Saccharomyces cerevisiae S288C: one gene and its partners. Changing the gene in region 1 together with any one later gene gives a genetic interaction. Each region holds a gene or a part of one and is shown in the gene's direction. Other genes may lie near its edges.

Region 1 (5,913 bases):
TTGACTTCTGTAAAGAAGCAGAGATTATAAGGTCTCCATATAGTTAGTAACGCAATGGTGCGAATGGGGTACAAAAAAACATATGAGAGTGCATACATAGAAAACTTGTTCAGTTACAAGAAACTTGCTGAAATATATTGGCTTATTCATGCTTTTAGGTTTCTTTGTTTTGCTTAAGATCATTCTGAGCCCAAGATAGATCAATGGAGCTTCCTTTTTTTCTTCGCTTCTTACAATTGAGCAGAAAAGAAGATTCGACCATATCTTGAGAAACGTATAAACCAGGAAAATTACACATTCTAATTGGTGTCAATGGCAAAATATATGCAAGTTTGCATGTAAAATATTTTTTTTAGGCCGGATAAAATAATTCTTCCTAATAGTGTCTAAAAGAAAACACTGACTCTTATAAAACAAACAATGAACATTTTAATAATTAAGATATAAACTGCCATCTTGATCTTCCAAAGAGACTACCAAATCAGCGACTTCATCGCTTTTCATGTTCCACCCCAGCTTGGGAGAAACACAAATATTCTTTAGGCAGGGCAGCCTGGATTCCAGTATGGCTATAGTCAAGTCATCGGGATGAATCTTAGAAGCTAATCCCAAGGATCCGCTGCATTCTAAGTACAATGTTTTAAGAGGCCTATCATATTCCACCAATTTACTTAGCATGAATTCAGAAAAGCACCACTTAGAACAGTAATCAACCATGAGCTGCAAAGAAATTAAATTAGCACAGTACGTGAAGACATGGTCTAGGGAATTTTCTGCCAGAGATGGCATCGGATAATGAAAAAATAAATGCTTTAAATTATCACCGATCTGTGATAACAACGAATAAATAGACAATTCCGTTATTTGAGGACAATAAGAGAATTCTAAAGTTGTAATAGTTGTTGGCCATTTCGTATCAATCACAAATTCATTTGTTATACCTCCACTCAATTTCAAGTACCTGAGATTCTGTGGCCATTGAATATCTTGGAACCCTTGGCAGTCAATCGACGATCTGGGAAAAGATAAATGCGTTAATTTAGTGAAATTTTTAATGGCAGAAAATAACTCCTTCAGCTTAACTGTTTCCGATACTAAACCCAAGTCTAAAAATTTCAAATCATGACACGATTTCAATGAAATCAAAGGCGCGTAACCAAAGCTTGTCTGTGGTGCGATGAATTTAGTTAGGTTAGAACAGCATCGTCGTAAAAGCTTGGAGACAAATGAATTTCTACCACTTTGTAAAATTGTAGACAAGTTCAACTCAAAAACATAGTGTCCTAAATTCTTCTTTTTATTTATGATTATTGTATCAACAAACCCGTTGAAATTCTTACTTGTTAACGCTGGTGCATAATAAAGCTTTGGTAGACACATGGCGTACCAGTTTCTGCAAACTAGTAAGTAGTTCATATTTATACCAGTCGTAGTTTTTTTTCCATTAGCAGTTTTATTTAATTTTTCTTCTTTCTCTGGTATATCAAGATAATGAATTATTCTATGCTGTATCTCCCATGGCAAAACCATCTTTACTGATACTGAATGCATCCTCGCTTCCTCACTCTCTATGACTTTGCCATTTTTTTCTCCTTTGGAGGACGATGTCGATGATGACGATGGCGACTGCTTACGTCCTTTTTTATCCTTTTTTTCATTACTCAGTCGTGTCAATTTCACTATAGTATCATTGGTTTCATCATAGTAATAAGACCCCTGTGGAGTCTCAATGAGTTCTGCATCCTCCGGTATAGTGATAGTGAATTCTTTAGCCTTATTATCATTTCTTGTAGAGGAGAAACCCTCTCCCGCCACGTACTTCCTGTAAGGAGCCTTGATTTTCTTGGGTCGTGATTTGTTTGCCATTACTGAGTACTGTGGTTGATATGATTATGTGTTAGAGCTGTTGCACATGTTTGTCGATGTACAAATCTTGACGATGCCGTCATATTACTCTCAATACTAGACACATCTTGTATTGACAACCCTTACCCCTCATGAAGAGGTAACCCGGCCGCAGGGCTTTAACAATAAAATAGAGACTATCATTCAACAATTACACAGTAGAAAAAAGTCAGAAGATTACTAATCTCGATCTTAAGTCTATTAGTCAATTAAATGTGGCCTAGGATTCAACTAAAAATATAGTAGTAGTGAAAAAACAAATGTTCCAACCGAGGATCGAACTCGGGACCTTTGCCGTGTGAAGGCAACGTGATAGCCGCTACACTATTGGAACAATATTACGGATGACAGCTTAGGATTCATAAAGAACTAATAAAGGTGTGGCAATAAAAATGGTGCAGCAAGTCTCAACTTTACTGCTTCTTATAGTTACTTCCTGTCGTTTTCATCACACTAACCCTTTGTTTCATTGTGCTCCCCTTCCCTTCCTTTCAATATTGCTTCCTACATCGGTCACTCTTACTTTGGTAATGAAGTAATGAAGAAAGGAAAAATAGAAAATCGAATACTAAAAATGTTATTATTTAAGGAGAATAAGAACGTAGACACTTAAGGGCGATAGTGTTTGAACAGAAAAAAATTAACTTACAAAACATGAAGGACTTGAGATTACAGGGGCCCTACAGAAAGTACATTCCCTATAATATTTTCCAACAATGTGGAATTGGTCACTTAAAGACGCTTGATTATATTTTCGCGTTTTTGATTGTTATTACCAATTTCACATTAATATGGAAATCGCACTCTTCTTCATTCTGGAACCGACCATGGGACAATAATAGTGAACAAGAACTTTCCCAATTAATTCAGTTTTACCTAGACAAGGCTTTTTACATCCATGAATTGCCACCATTTACAATACAGTTCTACTCCATTATTCGAAGATTAAAGATCGCAGAAAATTTAAGATACGTTTCTTTGTTTTTGAATTCATCGACTTTAGGTTTTCTTTTCCTGATAACAAGGAGAATCAATTGCTCTCGTTTAATTTCAGCAACAGGTTTGCTGATATTATCCAACTGGGAAACTTTCAGAAATGAGGGCACTATTATATCATTTGACAGTTTAGAATGGTGTCTGTTCTCAGTAGTAATTTACAGTTTTATAAGCATTTCAATTGCAAAACTGGGAACTACGAATTGGTTTGCTAATGTGATTACATTATCTATTTCTTTAGGGCTGGCAATCTCTTCTAAATTTATTGGAATTGTCACTTGGGCCTTCGTAATTCTTTCTTTTGTACGTCAATTTGATAGACTGATAAGCGACGTTAAAGTTACGACCATCCAAATAATAAAATTTGTCATTCTCTGTCTATTATTCGTTTTGATTATCCCTGGTTCCATCTTCATAATAAGTTATTCGAACTTACTTTCGAATTTTAAGACAGACACGCCACAATTTTCAAAATATATGAGCACATATTTCAAGTCCTATTTAAGAGGCCCTCAAGTACAACCGAGTCGATTGTACTATGGATCAACGATCACATTACGTCATTTAGATTCTATGGTCGGATATCTTGCTTCTCACGATATTTCGTATCCATCAGATGTTGACGAACAGTTAGTAGCGTTATCATTTGAAGAATTCGCGGCAGACAATGAATGGTTAATAGAACATCCTACATTAAATTTGAGTTTTTCTGAGGTATACCATGCTGATCAATTGATACCTGTAGAATTTGGTCAAAGTATAAAACTAAGACACAAATCTACTGGAAAATTATTGAGAGCCAGCACTGCTAAACCTCCCATCAGCGAGCAGGACTATGACTTTCAAATTTCATGCACGAAAGATTCAAACTACGAAGGAGGAATGGATGAGAGATGGGATGTTCTCCTGATTAAAGATGAAATCAACAATGATAAAAAGGATAACGCAGATGATAAATACATTAAACCGCTTCAATCAGAGATACGCTTTTACAATAACGGCCAGAGATGTGGGCTATTGGGCCATGATCTTCGGTTACCTGAATGGGGCCGCTTTGAGCAAGAAGTCCTATGTATGGAGTACCCAGTAATACCAAGAACCACTTTTCTAATAGACTCAGTACAACTACCAGTCGATTTCCAAGTCCCAATGATAGAATATTATATCGGCAAAATAAGTTCTTCAGCAGAATTCAATCATACCTTATCTTGGTCACAATTTCTTTATCTTTTCAAAGAATATATTTTCAAACAATACAAGTACAATTACTATATTAAATACGGTAAAAATAAGGTCACTTTTGAAGATGCGTTCGCCGTGGAAAAATGGCCAATTACGTTAGACACAGACTCTCCAGTTTGGTTTAATTTTGCATGGTATGGATCCTTACTCTCGATGATCATTTTCATGTGCGTGCAATGTAAGAGAATGATATCTTGGAATCCGTGGACAACTGCTGAACCTTCCTTTTCTATCAAATGGGAGGTCTACAATGAATTTGGCTGGGAGTGCATTGTCGGTTGGTTTTTACATTTTTACATCTTCACAATGAGTCCACACTTCAACTTGGGGAAAAAACTGTACTTCCAAAGTTTTTTCTTTAGTGTATTGTGTCTTTTAGAATCGTTAGATTGCCTTGCAAAGTAACTCGTAGAAAGATTTTCTCCATTATGATTTTTCTCCCATTGCTTCAATAATTCTCCGGTACAAATAGAGTAGCACAATTATTTATAAGAATAACATACATACGCTTAACTCTGCCATATAACTATAGTACATTTTCTGTCCTCTGTTCGCAAATTTCTTTGTAAAACTTAAGTTTATGTGCTCTTTTTTGAGTTTGCAATGCCATCTACAAAATCTTCAATTAAAGAATCAACGTGCCTTAAAAGTTTCTCCTTCTTTTTGATGGCCTCAATTTTTTCGTCTTCCACTTCAACTAGCTTTTTCTGCAACATATCAATCTTCCTTAATTGCTCTTCAGCTGAAACGTCAACACCAGGTAACGAGTCAATAAGCTTGTTTATCTGTCTTGTTTTAAGTATAATGTCCGTGGATAGCTCATCTATCGTGTTAGAAAATTCCTCAGGAGGTACTACTGTGGCATGCTTATCGGACATCTGAGGTTCATTTACGGTCAATCGTTCAAAACCATGGTTCTTATCTATGTAGTTTAAAGTAGCACAGAATTGCTCCGTCATTTGGTCTAAACATATCTGCAATTGTGTTAATCTATCTGTCATTGTTAAAGAGCATATAATGTATTGAACTAGTGAAATGTTATGTCCCTCTTTTAACCAATGGTTTACCGTTTGAATTATAATTATCTTTCAGAATTGATTTTTTTTCTAACTTTCTTGCAATGCGAACAAAGCTTGTAATTAAGCACGTACGGTTGGCCTTTAAAGGATTACAGAGAAAGACAAGGCTTCTACAGAAACAGCCACATGTTCTACAAAAGCGCACTTCACGCATATAAGCATATAAATGTTAGTTATATGAACAATCTTAAGTAATATATAATAAATCAGAAAAGTTTAACTGTAAAAGAAATTGTGTTTTAAAAGAAGATATAATAAACGAATGTATGGGATAACGCCAAGTTAAATGAATGTCCTTGTTTTGTAACTAAAGCAGAAGAAATAATATTGTTAGCTCTAGTTATTTTAATAGTGAAAAAATAGCCGAAATAAAGAACAAAGAAAAAAGAATGAGGAAACGAATGAATGAGATTAACGAGTAAAAAACGAATGAATGATACTTCAGATGGTCCTTGAATATGTTTTATAAGCTGATTCTTTGAATTTTTTTTTTTTTTTTTTTTCATTTTCTGTCCTTAGCTTAAGTTTGCAGGGGCTCGAGCTGGTTGAAAGAATAAAGAACATCATCGAAAGATTTTCTATGGTTTACAGGGGAGTCAGAGTAGGAAAATTTAGATTGTGGAGAAGGCGTAGCTATAGAGTTTCTTCTCTTGGGAAGAGGGCTTTGGCGTGAAGGAAAGAAGGCTTTTGC
Region 2 (4,170 bases), on another chromosome or scaffold:
TATCATTTATGCTGTACTCCAGTTTCTTCACACTATTAGTCCATTCATCGTCTAGCGTATACAGTGTCCGGAAATAAAATTTACATCTATCAGTTAAGCTTAATTCGTTGAAATGCTTATAATAGCCCTTCTTATTGATTAGCCAACTAGAACTCCTTTTAGTATCTATAGACTGGTCATAAAATGGAACTAATTCTAGTGGCGATACTGGAATTGTATCCACTGGGTCGACCTCAGGAGAGCCGAAGGCTTCAATAAGAACCTTAGGATCTGCATCTTTCAATGTTTTCTTGTTTGTACTGTTTACATTGCTTGATCGTATAAGCGCATCATTTCGGTGGGTAACTAGTTGGAATAGCACGAGAATAATGATCAAGGCTCCGACTAGAATCGGTATGGTACACGATCTCAAAGACCTTTGGTTTAATATAAATCTCCGGAGTGCCAACATTTAATACACAGTAACACTTTCTTAAACTAGCGTTAAATACCGCAAGATTACGTTTTTCGAGAGTACGAAGCAAGACCAGGACATTTAGCATTACGAATATTATTTATTTCACTTATGAGTCCTTTTTATAATACCTCCTTAATATAATCTTGCCTAATACATTGCAACGTTTTCGCAAAAGAAGAAACTCAAGGCTTAAAGAAGAAAAGGTAGACTTTGCGGTGGCGCCGGAGCCTCATTCTGAGATACCTTAAAAGGTTGAATATCAACTCAAAATGTCAGTAGCTCATCGTTCTGCGAGAGCGTGTCTAAAGATAAGCCGATAGTTTGTATCCTATTTAGGTTAAAAGCACGTGGCACGAGAAACGCGCACGCACTTTCCACCATTTTTCTGCATGGTGGCGGTCCGGCCAATTGAGACCTCGCAATGATTAAGTCTTCCGAGCGCCAGGGTTCGAAAAGTGGGATGCCTTGGTTGTTTTCTTTTTTTTTTCGCGATTGTTTTACAACTTAATAGGTGTTGCCCAACTATTCGTAAAAGGATCAGTGAGTCAGTAGTGAGCAATATATGCAGAAAGAGTACTTTTTTTTTTTTCTGACGCAGAAGAGAGAGTTCCTATCTCAGGGAGAGAAACTTCAATGTATTAGGTTTTCTTCGGATCCGTGGGCACTTCTTGCCGCGTTTGCATATGCAGAAAGAAATGAAGAAAAAAGAAAATGAATTAAAACGCGAAATAAAGCGATGCCGCTATAATGGAAAAAAAGGAGTCGCGACATATGTATATGCATTCATCGTTCTCATATATTGCACGTTCCGACCACGATTATAGAGTCATCTACCATACACCATTATTATACTTTCTCTTCCTATCTGTCCAACATTTCTAGATAAGCCTTACTACGCTATCAAATGGTTAGTCTTGCTGTCTTCTAAATTTAGATCTCTTTCGTTGTTCGTCCATAAGGGTTCTTTCTTGATGCAGGATATGCATTTACGTTATTTTTTGTACGTCGTACTCTGGCTTATCGATGAATACAGACATTGAATAGCTAGTGATATTTTATCGGAAACGTGTACCGTGAAATGGTAAAAGTTTTGTTTGACTTTGAGCCAAAGTAGTTACCATGGTTGTTTTTTTCTTAATCTTGAAGGTAATCAGGATAAAGAGAATTACAACCATGTTCGTAGCTAAAAATCTCCTTATAGCTAACAACTGCTATTTATGTGCGGCTTTGTCAGCAGGAATTATACCGCATTTCCTTGATTTACTGTCTTAAGCTCACCTTCAACATTGTTTAGCAGTAACATTGTACTTTATTTTTAAGGAATAGTTTAGTTGAAACGCCAACAGTGGCTTGCACTAAACAAGACTTTATACTACGTTTAGTTTTTCTTTTCCTTTTCTTGAAACCTTTTTTTCTTTTCGGAAATCTAATACTGCTACAATTTTTATATATTTTTCAAATTTTTTATTTAATAAATATTGAAATAGAAAATGAAATTAAATTTATATTTTTTAAAAAGCACGTGATTAATTTGATGTTTCATAGAAATTTTAGTTTAATATTGAATCAGTCATTTACAGATTCATAGTTCTTAAATAAAACATATCTCGGACTTATGTAGCATGTAGGAGAGATGTATTTTTGCTTGGCCCTTTGTTTACCAATTAATCACATCTGCATTGAATGGGCTTGATGGTAGGCAAGCGTTCCCCTGTTAATGAAGAAACCCATTCAACAAGGAAGAAAAGTGGACTAATTTGATATTTCAATGTGTTAGTTAAAGCAAAAAGAATTCAAGAGTAAATATTTGAATTTACTTCATTTGTTAAGGTTAACAATTTAAGGTGTTGATTCTTTAAAATTATGTTCTCGCCATTCAATGACAGAAACATTACGAAGTGCTAGGAGGTATATTATTAATATGATAGTTTTTAGTTTATAATATTTGTCAACTCTAGTTGTTTACGCATTGAAAAGAAGTACGGTGTAATCAATATCATGAATATTTGAGAATAAAAAAACAGTTTTTGTTGCTGTCGGCCTATGGTGCTAGGGCTGACTGTTTGCTGATTTTTTCCTTCCGTTCCCTAATTCACAAAAAATCGATCATTATTTTTGATTTAGGCAATGGCAAAAATCCACGATATAATAAAAACCTGTGATTTCAAGCCTTGCAAACAGTAGACAAGCGCCATCTGTTTTCATTATGATGACTTTTATCATAGAGGATCTTGCCATTTATCGCTATCTATATATATTATATAAATACACTATACGATAATCACAAGCGCATGATTTTTGATAGTGATGTATGCTGCTTGACTACACGATGTATTCCGGGAATTTGGAAATGAGTTTATGCCTCCAGTTTATTTATTCATGTTTCGTAGTTCGGTAGTTCGGGTAAGTAATTTTGTCATTGAACGTTAAGAAGATTTTGGTGAAGTTTCAAATTCTGCAAAAACAATTACATACTAGTGGTTAAACAAAAGAAACAAGTAAAAGTTCACTGTCACTTCTTTATAGCTGGCAATTATGAGGTTTTCTATGTTAATCGGGTTTAATTTATTAACTGCCTTGAGCAGCTTCTGTGCTGCCATATCAGCTAATAATAGCGACAATGTCGAACATGAACAGGAAGTTGCGGAGGCGGTAGCGCCACCTTCTATTAATATAGAGGTGAAATATGATGTCGTTGGGAAGGAATCAGAAAATCATGATTCTTTCCTTGAGTTTTACGCGGAGGATACCGCTACCTTAGCCTATAATGTTACTAATTGGGAAGATACTAATATCACAATTTTTGGTGTCAACGGAACAATTGTTACATATCCACATGGTTATCCTGTGGCGGACATTACAGGTGCGAGTATTGGGCCTTACGAAATGGAGGTCAACGGAACTTCAAAATTCGGGCAAGACGTTACGTTAAATTTACCGGAAGGACAATACTTTTTAATCCCATTTTTATTAGCTTCTAGGTTCGATGAAATCGTGAGAATTGCGGCACCACCAACCCTATTCGAAATTGTTAGCCCACCTATTTCCTTTTTCAACCCACAATTTTTATCAGTTCAGGTCATCTTTCTAGCCATCATCGGAGGTGTAAGTTATTACTACATGAAGTCTAAAACAAATCAAAGACCTTCCAAGAAGAGTGCCACTGTCAAAAAAGTTGATGAATCATGGTTGCCAGAAACCTATAAAAAATAAAAATGGCGGAGTAAGATCTCTGGATGATGATAGGGGGCTCTCATTGTTTTATAGATACATATTAGTATACTACAATTAAAGATATCCCAATATCTACTTTCGATATTTTCAGGGCGGGTTATTGAATAATGCATTACCCTAAGCTACGCCTGAAAAATATCAAACACGCTTCTTGAAAAGAGAAACCTTTAAAGAGGTGTATAGTCAACTGAATTGGTTATAAAGTTGAATACTTTAACACAATTGACGGTGCAAATTTTGAATTATCCTTTTTTGATTATTTAGGATGCGGACCGATTGGAATTTTTTCTTTTGTATCCTTCTGCAGGCCATTTTCGTTGTGGGCACACAAACTTCAAGAACGCTTGTTCTTTACGACCAATCTACGGAACCTTTAGAGGAGTACTCAGTCTATTTAAAAGATCTAGAACAAAGGAATTACAAACTTGAATATTTAGATATTAACAGTACTTCCACTACTGTGGATTTGTATGACAAAG
Region 3 (6,336 bases), 380 kb from region 1:
AGTGATAATATATTCTCACTACGTTCAACACTCTTTGAGGTTAATATTTATCCGAGAGGTAAGATGAGCGTTGTGCAGTTCAAGAAAGTTTCTGGTTCATTCAAAGCTGTCAAAAAGTTGGTCAATGAAGTTGAGAACGTCCTGAATAAGGAAGGCGTTCTACAAAAATAGTGCTAATGTAATGCAATCATGTTTTGTCTCCTTCGTTTTGTTCTGCCATAATATTTCGCTCATATTATTTTTGCTTATTTTTTCCCCTCCGTATTAATACTTTAAATAACAATCTAATGGAGGTACTGGACTCTATGTACTATTATATTTACCCTTAAAATATCGTGTTGATTACTATTTGTATAACCGTTTGTTTTTCTAACTATATATGAAAGAAAAGTAGTTATAGTTATAGTAGTTGAAGATTTAAAAGCTATTTGCCCTCTTTGGGATTAAAGTAAGAGCTAAACATAAATTATGTAACAGTTTAATTTTCCGAACATTAATTGTTGTTAAAGGCTTTAATATCAAGTATACTGAATATGCTAGAAGTTCCACTCAAGCATATAAGAATATCTGCCTAAATTATTATTTATCACTACAACTTGGCTACAAATTATGAACAATGAGGCCGACAAGAAGTTACTCTCTTAAAAAATGGGATATGATATATACAAACATATGATACAAAAATTTCAACAAATAAGTGGTTGTTTGGCCGAGCGGTCTAAGGCGCCTGATTCAAGAAAAAATCTTGACCGCAGTGAACTGTGGGAATACTCAGGTATCGTAAGATGCAAGAGTTCGAATCTCTTAGCAACCAATATTTTTTAGTTTACATTTTTTTCGGGGATAGTCATAGAGGATCCACCTTCATCTCAGCTGTCCACATTAAGGCCAAAGCTAATAAAGTGGCACATACTGGGCGGTTAAACAAAGTTATTAAGTAATTATTGCAAAACTCCGTGGACAACTTGTTTAGAATGAAGGTCATTCTCCTTAAGCCGGTTCAGTTGCCAATGCTACTCTTAATACTATTAAAATTTATTATGGCCGCTAAGGAAGGCAAAATACATGTCTTAGAATTCAATGCGAGCAGTGAATACACGCTTGATAAGAGAAGAGTTATCTCCATAAATGGCTACAGCGCTACATTTGGCCCAGAAATTCGAGTTAAATCCGGTGACACTCTTAACTTGAAATTGACTAACTGGATATGTTCAGAAGAAGAAGCTAGTAAAGACAGTGATGTTTGGAAGGATTACTGTTCAACAGCTTTACATTTTCATGGGGTGGTACCTTTAGCAAATGAATTTGATGGAATTCCAGGTTTAACACAGCCCACTATTGGATATGGAGAAAGTTATTGGTATAATTTTACCATTGATCAATCAACCTGTGGTACTTTTTGGTACCATTCGCATTCATCAGTACAATACGGTGACGGTATGAGAGGTGTTCTGATAGTTGAATGCGATGATTATGATAATCATGTGGCAAATACTATTAATTCTGTGAGAGACATAGAGACACTAGATGACGGTGTTGTTACAATGAAAAAAGATAAACACACGAAGGAATTGACGGATTATGAAGTTCAAGAAAGGATTATCACTTTGAGTGATTGGTATACCAATTGGAATTTGGACATTTTAAACGACAAGGTTTTGTCATCTACCGGGGGTACAGATCCCAAATTTGATGGATCATTAATAAATGGAAAATCATCTGACGGTGAAACTATCAAAATAGGATTTAACACCGAGTATCTTCTTTTGAGAATCGTAAACTCAGGAATGTCTGGTACTCAAGTCTTTCACCTTGATGGATTCCAATTAATTGTTCTAGAAGCCGACGGGATTATGATTAAACCGTTCATTGTACAAACGATAAATTTAGCGGTCGGACAAAGATATACAATTTTGGTCAAACTAAAGTCTGACACTAGTTTTATTCGTATGATTAATGGCTGTAACAAAATGATGGGTTATATAACAAAACAGTGGTGGTTTTACAAAGAAGGCGCTCATTTGGACCTACCAAAGAACCCCAATGACGTTTCCATCGAACACTTGCCTGGTTTCACTAAGGCCGAGCTTTATCGCGACATAGAACCAACGCAAGAAGAGAATAAAAAGTTACGCACAAAGGCTGATCCTGTTGCAGTTTTCGAATTCGATTATGCTTATTACAAAGATGAAAGCACGAAACAAAAGTATGGGACTGGGATGTATAAGGTGAACGAACGGACATTCAGCGAGTACGTAAAAGACCCGGTAAGGTTCGGATTCAACGAAACATATGATATTGTAATCAACTCACTGGACCACATGAGACACCCATGGCATATGCATGGCCATCACTTCCAGATAATATCTCTTGGCAATAAAGGTGATGGCCCATTTCACAAAGACGTACAAGAGGGCAAGGCATGGAGCCGCTATCAGAACGATTTACGTCACCTGGCCCGAACCGGAAAGGCACCGATGGTAAGGGATAGCATTAACATTGCAGGAAATTCTTACGCGGTTTTGAGAATTAACACCGAGATGCCCGGAAAATGGCTTTTACATTGTCATGTGGAGTGGCACATGATGAAGGGGCTTGGCATTGTCTTTGAGGTTCCGACAACAACCGAGGACAGTACCAAACAAGCAACTACAGCTGTATTATCGTACCCTACCAAGGAACCTGACCCTAACACTGTTGTCCATACAGCCGCACTTGAACAAAATAAGTCCAAGGTAATAGCCGTCTACATCCTAATCATGTGTGCGGTTGATGCTATCTTCTACTGGTTGCTCATGTAATCACATCCATTTCTCCCAACTCATTGCTTTTTTTCGCTTTTCCCACAGCCGTTTACAAGGCCGCAAAAAAGAAAACCCGCAAAGCTGACGGAAAAAGTATCGGCTAGCTTTCCATTGGCGACAATCGCCTCCGAGTGCGAAAACCTGTATTTCTCTGACTGCCGTAGGTCATATAGGATTGGGTCATAACGGTTTTTTGGAGACGAATCCTTCCCCTAATCGTGTTGGATAACATTACGGATCCGTGTTTTAGCTAAAGGAACAAAACAAAAATAAATAAAGGATAAGAAGAAGGATTCACTGATAATTAAGAGCTGTATTTTTCATTGGTTCGGCAGTTAGAAACAGAGATAGCATCAGTTCGAGTGTTCTTTGATATAGTAAACAGCGTATATAGAAAAGAATAAAGTGTATTGAAAGGCTCAAGAGAATTATAGAGAAAAAAACGAAGGATAAATCAAAAAAAGCGGTGTCTGATACAGTGCTCAATAGAAATACAGTTGCAAAATGGACCTCCCAACTGTTAATAGCACAACAAGCATTTCCGACAATGTGGATTTAAAGAACTACTATGAGGACTTGCTTTTCAAGAATAACAGCGGAAAATCGCTATCCGATTTACCCCGTAAACTGAATGATAACTCCAATAATTCAGGAAGTGATACGGTTGATCCGCTTGCTGGCCTGAATAATTTGAGAAACTCAATAAAAAGTGCGGGAAATGGTATGGAAAACAGGAGGACTTTTGACGATATTGATTTTATGGGTAGGTTTCCGTATTTGCCACCAGTGCCAAATCAACAACAGCAACCGTTTTCTCACCAGAACGGGTTCATTCAAGAACACCCTTCCAGTAATTTGACCTCTTTTCAAATGTCTTCGTCTAATTCAGAGCCGATGTCCGCACCGCCCATTTCATCCAATAACAATAATTTAAACTCTACTCAAATGGGTAATTATCAAGCTCAACAACGGTCGTTCCCGCAATTTAATGGAAATTCATTTCATTCAAATGGAAACGACCTAATGGGGAATCGGATGGATTCAGACTACATGCGTTTAATGAATAAAACAAACATAGGTTTTACTTCCAATAGCGGCAGCAATTTTGCTGCCCCATCACACAGTGCTGGCAACCCATCTAGTATGAACAACCAACAAGTACCATCATTTAATTGGCAACAGCCATCTCATCCAGAGTCTACCATTAGGAGATCCTCCTACATATCAGATACTCTAATCAACCATCAAATGCCTGACGCTCGGCAAAAGCAAACATCCCAAGTGCAGCAGCAACACGCTCAAGGTTTCAATCTTTTCAATAGCAGATTCAACTATGACAACTTGAACTCAACCCATTTGACCGCCAAAGGTGTGCCCGAGTTTGGAAATGGTGTACAACCTCCGTATCCTTATGATAACGAGCCTAATAATGCCAGTATCAGCAATAGTAATAACAACAACAACAGTCACAATATGGTTCCAATGCAACAGTTTCGCCGGAATACACAACCGGTAGCGAGCTTCAATCCATCCCTTCCTACTTTTCAACAACAACAGCAACAACCACAACAACCACAACAACCAAGAAACGTTAATGTACCTACTTCTTTCAATGGCGAACGTGTTGATGATGTTCAGCTTGTTCAACTTCAAAGAAGCAGTTCTGTCCCTTCTTCTACAAACTCACATAACCTTCAGAACGAGAACAGCAATGAAGGAAATGTATCTTTGGACAATGGTTTAGTTTTAATTCAGGGTAAACACTTGACTTCGTCCAAAACCTTACACGATTTATACAGCGACTGTGGCAGCGGCTATTTTGCTAGCTCTGCAGTTTTTGAATTCACAGATAATATTAAGAAAATGCTGAAGTTGCACGATTCTAATGAAAGTTACGACGCGAAGAACATGGGCTTAATCGATGAAGAAGGTAATACATACCAATCTTTATTAAATTTCTTGGACATTTTAAGAAGTTGCAACATGAATTACGTTAATGATCCAGAGTCGAATAATGGAATTGTTTCCAATAATGGAGGCAATAAAAATAGGAGGAAGGGCTCTTTCACAACAGAACTATCATGCAGGAATGCTAATAACTCCTTTTTACCTTATACACCATTGGTACTGGTTGCTTTGAAAAATGGGAAACTTGAACTACTATCTACTCCACAAGCTACCAATTTGTTGTTAAAGAGAGGTGACTTGGTTATTATTGATGGTGACCGTGGAAGGGATTTAGTATTGGTTGTTGAGCCCTCTGTCGATTTGAATTTAGCATTATTTATAAATTTTCTGAAAAAGAAAATTCACTTTGACTCTTTAATTACAAGTGAGTCACAGCACTATCGCAATGATGAGTTTATTCAAATGTTGATTGACTCAAAAAATGGGCAAAAGAAAAAATTAAATCCCAAATTGTATGATGTTGTTGAATTAACTGAGTTAATCATACCATCTAAACAAGTCTTACGTTTTGCCACCCCGTGGGAGGTAACAACGAATTTGCACAATAAATTTGAAGATGAATTAAAAGCCTTGCATATTGCTCAGAGTAAATTACAAGCGTTAAATGATAATTCAAAATCTCAAAATACAAATGACAGTTCTTCCAATAATTTTACGAATGCTGCAACTTATTCAAAGCCTAAATTGAATATCAAGATTTTAAACGCAGAATTCCAATTTGATAGAAAGAAATTAACGTTTTACTACGTTTGTGAGGAGAGAAATGATTTTAGAGACTTGATAAAAGAGCTGTTCAAATATTACAAGACAAGAATTTGGTTGTGTGCCATCCCGAATAATCTGTCTATTGATTCTAAGTATTATGATAAACAACAAAAAGAGCTGAAATTATATCAAAACATAGTAAAAAATTACAATGCTGAAGATTTAATGAATGTCAATGAGTTTTCGCAGAACAGGGGGAATAACAGAGTTAATTTTGCACCTCCGTTGAACGAAATTGAACTCGACAACTTTCAGATTGCTGTGTATGAAGAATTAGTTCACGAATTATTTCATTAAATGATCTGTTATTTCCTTGTTGTAACTATAAATTTTCTAAAAGAAAAGACAACCATTTGCCATTATTTTGTTAACATTTTTTCATTGTTTTTGTTTTTGTTTGTTTTTGTTTTTGTTTTTATTTTTGTCTACTTTTTTTATGTTATTTTGTTTTATCGTTTCTGTTCGTTGTTTACCTATTTTCCTGCCAATTCAATTTGGTACTATCTTTCTATTATCAATATTTTCTTTCCCTTATGTTTTTTTCTATATGAAAACTTCACAGGGAGAAATAGAAGAAAATGTTCATTATTCTGTTTAACTTTGATAAAAATTACTTATACGTCTCCCAATCATGGTTTCATGGTCACTGGTAAGGAAAAATTCGAAAAACTACGGGACTAAAAATTTTTTAAAGATTGTCCATATTCCTCGATCCACACTTTCAAGTTTGAGATTTATTGTTGGCAACTTTCTTACATTTTTGTTGTTTCAACTTCTATTTTATATTCTAACAGCCGCT

What was found.
Region 2: mutations in PMT7 (region 1) and IRC22 together harm fitness less than expected from each alone (positive genetic interaction), as found in Saccharomyces cerevisiae (one large-scale study listed by BioGRID).
Region 3: mutations in PMT7 (region 1) and PSP1 together harm fitness more than expected from each alone (negative genetic interaction), as found in Saccharomyces cerevisiae (one large-scale study listed by BioGRID).

What each region holds. Positions count from the first base shown.
Region 1 is NC_001136.10:1,073,306-1,079,218, forward strand, and holds PMT7 (putative dolichyl-phosphate-mannose--protein mannosyltransferase), read left to right. Parts: upstream 1-2,559; coding exon 2,560-4,548; downstream 4,549-5,913. Other genes in the region: HNT2 (bis(5'-adenosyl)-triphosphatase), read right to left, coding at 1-7, 97-183; PFU1 (Pfu1p), read right to left, coding at 430-1,866; SRB7 (Srb7p), read right to left, coding at 4,722-5,144; GIC2 (Gic2p), read right to left, coding at 5,743-5,913. UniProt on the Saccharomyces cerevisiae protein: Probable protein O-mannosyltransferase involved in O-glycosylation which is essential for cell wall rigidity. Transfers mannose from Dol-P-mannose to Ser or Thr residues on proteins.
Region 2 is NC_001137.3:149,801-153,970, reverse strand, and holds IRC22 (Irc22p), read left to right. Parts: upstream 1-2,992; coding exon 2,993-3,670; downstream 3,671-4,170. Other genes in the region: alpha-1,3-mannosyltransferase MNN1, read right to left, coding at 1-451; WBP1 (dolichyl-diphosphooligosaccharide-protein glycotransferase), read left to right, coding at 3,957-4,170. UniProt on the Saccharomyces cerevisiae protein: Is probably involved in a pathway contributing to genomic integrity.
Region 3 is NC_001136.10:1,456,193-1,462,528, reverse strand, and holds PSP1 (Psp1p), read left to right. Parts: upstream 1-3,308; coding exon 3,309-5,834; downstream 5,835-6,336. Other genes in the region: protein kinase GIN4, read left to right, coding at 1-171; GMC1 (putative oxidoreductase), read left to right, coding at 975-2,801; SPG3 (Spg3p), read left to right, coding at 5,835-6,218. UniProt on the Saccharomyces cerevisiae protein: DNA polymerase alpha mutation suppressor.